2 linked regions of the Caenorhabditis elegans genome follow. The protein of the gene in region 2 purifies or fractionates together with the protein of the main gene of each other region. This does not show direct contact. Each region holds a gene or a part of one and is shown on either strand. Other genes may lie near its edges.

Evidence for each region. The genes of interacting proteins can lie anywhere in the genome.
Region 1: the proteins of F14F9.6 (region 2) and K05C4.4 fractionate together in Caenorhabditis elegans (co-fractionation; one large-scale study listed by BioGRID). This does not show direct contact.

Annotation. Positions count from the first base shown.
Region 1 is NC_003279.8:14,733,714-14,737,323, reverse strand, and holds K05C4.4 (Leucine Rich repeat-containing domain protein), read right to left. Parts: upstream 2,102-3,610; 5' UTR 2,089-2,101; coding exon 1,992-2,088; intron 1,936-1,991; coding exon 1,824-1,935; intron 1,776-1,823; coding exon 1,589-1,775; intron 1,546-1,588; coding exon 1,068-1,545; intron 1,025-1,067; coding exon 909-1,024; intron 864-908; coding exon 540-863; 3' UTR 128-539; downstream 1-127.
Region 2 is NC_003283.11:5,145,472-5,148,701, forward strand, and holds F14F9.6 (uncharacterized protein), read right to left. Parts: upstream 1,024-3,230; 5' UTR 1,020-1,023; coding exon 789-1,019; intron 741-788; coding exon 708-740; 3' UTR 654-707; downstream 1-653. Other genes in the region: F14F9.2 (Secreted phosphoprotein 1), read left to right, coding at 1-77, 127-204, 263-310.

The DNA of each region.
Region 1 (3,610 bases), on a different chromosome or scaffold from region 2:
CAAATTCCACCCTAAAATTTTCGCCATTTTCAATTTTTTGAAGCTGCAGCCTGAAAACTAAAAGATACCGAGTGGGAAAGTGGAAACATTGCCGTTTTTGAATATGAAACAAACATTTCAGCGAAGATACATTACAAACCCTTTTAAAACAACATAGGAAAACCAATAATCACAGAAACATCAATCAAAAATGCGAAAAAAATATGAAAAATCGGTATTTGGCTGAAAAAAAAAATTTTCAATCGAAAACTTGCTAAGCCAATGAAACTGAATACAATGTTGGGATTAAATAATATAAGGAGAGATAACGAGATATATATATATATATATATATAATTTACGAAATAGGTATTGTAACAGTAAAAAAAAAGGAAATTTTCATGTCTTCTTCGGTTGCATTTGTTTCAAGCTTCTCTCCTGATAACTGATGTGACGCCAGAAGCTGCTGGAAGTGCTGCTGGAAGGTTTATTATCCTCATCTTCAAAATGTTCTTCCAGAGCTAGTGGTGCCATCTTTTCCGGTTTATCATCAATTCTCTTCAACGTCGGGATTCTTTTGAAAAAATAAGTTGCAAAAGATCGGGCAACTCGAAAATGCAACTCGAAAAGGCAACTCGAAAAGCAACTCGAAAATTATCCGACAGCTTCAGATGCGTGAGCGATTTCAGCGACAGCAAAGGAAATGTGCAGTTCATTGTAAGAAAGTTGTTCCGCAGGTCGAGATGTTCCACATTTACAACTTGTTTAACCAAAATTCTCGTACATTCCTTGATATTGTTGTTTGAAAGGCCGAGAACTGTGCAATTCGGCAGGTAAGGAAAATTGCGGAGACTGTTCAAGCAATGGTCCCGGGCAGTGAATTTCTGGAAAAGAAAACAAATTTCAAAATTTGATCAACCAAGACATACCTTAATACCTTCCAGATTGATCGATCGGAAGATTTCAAGATTAAAACAGAATCCGCTCACATCCAATGTGTCCGGGCGGACTTCAAGCAATCTGTTCACGGTAATTACATCCAATACTGAAAACTTTTCTCATCAGGCTATTACGGTTTTCACACCTACCAGACATATCTTGTACCGTTGAGACGTATTGACCGACTTCCGCAATCTCCGATGCGAGCGTCTCAAATTTTAATTCATTTTTGTCAACGATCACTGATTCGGTTATAGTTTTGAAACCCAATTTCAAAATGGTCTCCGCAAGATTTTTTTCACTAAAATTGTGGGAAGTGAAGAGCTGAGCACGAAGAACTTCGTCGGTTTTCGAATATGTGACTCTTTCAACTCCTTTCCAATCATGAAAACATTTTTTCATCGACTTTTCCAAATCTTGACGCATCTCTAAAGCTTCAAATTCAAAAATTACACTGTTCGAGATATTTCGTGTAGATTTTTGAGAAGATACGCTCTCTGTTTCAGAAGCCTTCTTTAGAATATTTCTTTCATAGCCAATAGTCGACTCCTTCACATTTTGAAGAACACGGGTCATCAGCTCTTTTCCACGAGCTTTCGCTTTGGCAGTCAAATCGAACGTGTGAAGCTGAAAATGAGAAATTTAACAATTTTCGGAGGAAAATTCTAACTTCGCTGATCGACATGAAATCTGCGGCGATGGCAACCTTGAGCTGCTCAAAAAATGGTGCAACTTGAGGAATCAAATCCTTTACTTCGTTATCATTTGCACAATTTATTAGGTGGCTGCGAAAATCAGATGAAACAATAACGGAGAACTTGTCGAGAATTGCATGGGACGCTGACTTCTCCGCGGATCTGAAATTAAACTTAATTTTTATCGTAATTTTCAAAGGGTTTGCTAACTGCGCATCTGGGCCGGTTCCTTTTGAATGCAGACAACACGCCGGAATTGTGGCAAACGATATTAATCGTTTCACGGCAGCGGTCGCGGGAGGCTCCACATCACGTTTGATTTCTGCAAAATGGAATGTTTATATATATTTTTTTCATTTTTCTCCGGAGATCTCCTACTCAAATCAAAATCCTGAATTATTAGCGGGCATCCCAACTGAGCTGCCAGGTATGAAAGATTTTCGAATATTGTGCGACGTGATGATCTTGACGACATCTTGTTTTGAATTCTGTAAGGAATTTTTTGTGAAAAAAAAACATAAACTCAAAAAATGAAAAAAGAATCAGGAAATACATGACTTCATCAACGAAAAACAGGAAATTTCACCTAACGATATTTTGACTACGGTAGAAATTGTTTAGTGCATATCGTGCGATTTACTAGATGCACACATTTATTTCTACCGTAGTAACGCAATGAATTATTTTGAAATTCAGAAATTCAACGTGAAGATTTGAATACAAAAATCCTGTTTTTTTGTCTCCCGTTTCTGTCATCTCGCTATCACGCCTCATGCAAATGAGAAATATAAATTTTCGCGCGCGCACCTGAGATTAAATTCCAAATTGTTTGTATTTTTATTCAATACTACGGTAGACATCGCTAGGAGATATTTCGCGCCACAAATGTAGGCATTCTCATGTTTTCATAGTTTCTCACTAAATCGTGAGATTGCGTAAGGAGCATTTAGTTTGACGCGCGATACCTCTTAGTAAAAACTACAGTAATAATTTAAATGCTACCGTAGCGCTGGTGTTGATTTACGGGCTTGATTGCCTAAAATATTTTCTTATCGAATTTTGACAGCAATTTTCATTTTTCCTTCCCTTTTCCGTATTATTTTTGTTATTTCTATTCTTTATTTTATTCTTTTTTTCTATTTTTTTTTTATTAATATAATTATTTGATCAGTAAATAAATATTTTTAATTTAAAAAACGTGCAAAATTGGTTTCATTTTAATGAGGAAACTCCCAAGCAAGCATTTATTTTTCTCTTTTTCATCTCTTTCTCAGATTTTTCAGGAGAAGGCCGACATTTACATCTGAAAAGTAAAAATTAACAATTTTTATTGATAATAATTGATTTTATTCAGGTTTTCAACAACAATGGGGGCCTACTCAGTAAACCCGTTCAGAATATACCCAGATTTAAACCAAATTAAAACCGTACAAGCCTATATTGTGAATTTATCTGCACAAATTTGGTTTGGATCTACACAAAATCGATTTGGATCTACACAAACCTACACAAATTCAGTTTACATCTACTCAAACTTGCAATCTATGCAAATTAAGTTTGGATCTAGACAATCTTGGTTTACATCTGCCCAAAATTAGAATTTTTCATAATATAGGCTTGTACGGTTTTAATTTGGTTTAAATCTGGGTATATTCTGAACGGGTTTACTGAGTAGACTGCTGGCTGTGGTTCCGAAGAAGAATGACTTCGGATACGAAGGTAACCAAGAAATGAAATGAAAAAGCTCCACACAAATCTTTTAGAATCTTTATTTTCGACGGAGTTGTTTGACAAAAAAAAAGTTGTAATTATCATGGTGCGCCCATAGTCTGCGGAAAACGGGAATTTTCCGCGGTCCGAGGCGTCCATTGTGCGCGGAAAAAAACATGGAATTTATCGCTTCGCTATTGGTCGATTTCAAAATAGTGGGCGTGTCCAACCAATTAGAGCCTGTTAAATTTTAAGCGAAAATTTACCGTATGACATTTGTGACATGA
Region 2 (3,230 bases):
TAGAATCGAACACAGAATCGGAAGAAAATTCACACGAAGATTCCGATGAGCCTGAACACTCTGACAGCCATGAAAACGTAAGATTTGATGAATAAGTTTCAAAACCTGTAAGATATAATTATTCAGGATCACTATTCCCCACCAGAGATTGACTCATCAGATGACCCGGTGCTAATTAGAAAAGGGCATGGTAAAAGGGGAAAGGTAGAGTTTGCTTACCGAAAACCATTCGACCTGATTTAATTTTTTCTTTTTTTTTCAGCATTTCACATTGGAACCAGAATTCGAGGAAACCACGGCAACTGTTTAATTCTCATTGGTTCTTTTTTCTGACCTTTTCTGATTAAATTTTTTTTGTAAATATATTGATGTTGTGAATAAAATTATGTATTTTAATGAGGATTTTTTTAAAAATAATGTAAAAAATGTAAAAATTAATTGATATCCACAACGCTTCAAGAACGTCTACAGATTTCTGGTCAGGGAATATGATTTTCTCTTTGACGTATGATGGGTAAGATCAAAACCATTTTTCACTAGTTATTTACTTGTGCTTAAATAAATGCACTCTATTCTGCAAAACTCGAAAAATGAAAAATGACAGGTGACGAGCACGAACTCTATCCATATTCTTCAATATTGAAAAGTTAAGTTATATTGCAAAGTTTATTCCATACAAGTTTATAAGATGCACACTTTTATGACGATTAGATGTTAATTATTAATTCTTCGAGCTCCAACTGAAATATAATTTTGATAACGCAAGCTTACTATATCTAGGAGCTCACCGTGTCCCCTTCCAGTTCAAGCCCTTCCAGTCCTGCTAGCGGAGAGTCAGTGTCTTTCACACAATCACAACCAGAGTCGGAATCGTATTCAATATAAAATGTCTCTGATTCTTTCATATTCGAATCTCCATTGCCTCCAACCAGAATATCAAATTCTTGTCTAAAAGGGGCAGCAAATATTCCAACAGTGACAATAGTCAGGAATAAAAGGGGTATAATTCTAGAAAACATTTTCACTGTTTGTATTTTTATCGTATAACTCTGGTTTTATAGTTTTACACTTATGTGTTATAATGTGTGCTTAACAAGTACAAAACAGTATTTTGTATTCGGTTTTTTGTGCACCTGTGTTTGACCAGCTGTTTTCTGTGGGATGTTTTGGAAACTTTGTCATTTGTGGCAATACATATGAGTCAGTGTTTTGGGAACTTAAATAATTTTTTTAATATTTAAAACAAATGGTTCATGATGAGCTAACGCCAGTGACTATAGCTTCATTTAAAAATAGAATTGCCCCAATGTTTTTAAAGCAACTGCGACCTAGGCCTAGCTAATACTTACTATCTACCTAGATACTGATACAATCCGATTGCTTCTTGTTGTGTATTGAGCGAGTGACAAGGAGAGAAGAAGTTTATTACAAGAGAATGTAAGAAGTAATGAATTATAAAGAGAGGTCGCTTACGCGATAAGTTCATGATGACCCAAAGGTCACGTCTGTATAAAGTTCAGGTTTACGTTCCGTCCACAACATCTCCCCTCTTGTATGACAAAAAGCCAGAAATTATGCCTGGGCTAGGGGCATCACGACCAGAGGCGGTATCTCGACCTCTGCGGCGAGTGGAGGCATGATCAGTGTTTGGGGCTGATCCTCGCACAACTTGTCGTGGGTGGCTCTGTCGAAGAGAATGACACAGGAGGATGCCGGGTTGGAAACGCTCGCCGTCACTCGCAACATCGGATTCCAGCAGGGGGTCCAGATGGGTTTCTTTGATTGGCGAACTTCCAGCAGTATATGATTGGCGACTCTTAGCCACACGGTGACGTCTTCTGTGGCTTTTCTTCAACGAACTCTTGCTCTCCGTGACATGAATCGTAGTTATATTTGCACCAGTAGCATTCCGAGCATTGCCGGCAACCGACGAGACGACTTCACGAGCAGATCGAGAACCAACAGACTCACAAGCTGACAAATCTGGAGCACTAAAACCAAAAACAGAAGAATCTGAAACTAAAACTGGAATAGCTTCCCTCCCCTCACCACGGACACCTTGAGCGACAAATTTTTGGCGGCAACTAGAGCGCGGAATGTTTTCCAAAAGCGACAATTTGCACGGATTTTCAATGAAGGATGAAGCATAGTCATTCCCACGGCTCCGGCGACCGCAAATGTGACGGAGTTGGTTCGTGTGAATCCTCTGAATTCTCGATCCCAACTGTACTTTATAGAGTACTCCGTTCACTTGTCTTTGAACAACTCCATAAATCCAGCCAAAATTGTGCTCTCCTTGAACCCGAGCAAGGCACAATTGCCCAATCTGAAATGCTTTATTGCGCGCAAATCTTACATACTGGCGCTTACTACTACGCGGCGCAGATGCAACAACATGTCTCCCAACATTTTCAGCACGATCTTTGTATCCAGTAGGAATCCTTGAGAACGAGTGCAGATTTTGCTTCGAAGTATCCACAGTGGATATATGATTAACCATTACGGCCAAAGCATCACGCATTTGAGGCGAGTGGCGCATCCAACTGGTGCCTAACAGATTATTGTTTCTGTTCCAGACGTATACATACTCAGTGTATTCGACACCTTTGACTTTGAACCATACGAGCACTCTACCTTTGACAGCGATTTCAGTACCATTGGCACAGCAAATTTTGTGGTGGACCTTTTCGAGATGCGGTTTCCCGATCTTCTGCCGGTTCTGGACACTGATAAGGGTGATGTCACTGCCTGTATCAAATGTGAAATCGATCTGTTGTCCTTCCACGTTCAACCGAAGACTAGGCGATGTCTGTCTTCCAGACCCAACCTCGAGCGTATTCACTTCAGAATGCTCAGTCTTACGATTGGTCACACCTGAATTGGTGGAACTCTGAGGACAGTCTTTTGAAACGTGCCCGACTACTTTACACTTGTAACAATACGGAGATCTGTAGTTTCCTTTTCTCGAATCCTTCTTCTTGTCATCTGCATCAACTTGGTTTACTTCGAATTTCGGATGTTTGGCGGGAGTTGCTGTGATGACTTTGGATTGCTGCTGCGTTTGGATGTAACGGATCCATTCGTCATGGACGTCGGATAACTTGAGTTTTTCATCTTTTCGCTCAAACTGTTCGCAATATTGCATCAAATAACGCTTTGCTAGGGCGTCCTCCGGCGCATCCATTCCACGTAAGAAGATAAAGATCGACCAATCATCTGTCGACATATTC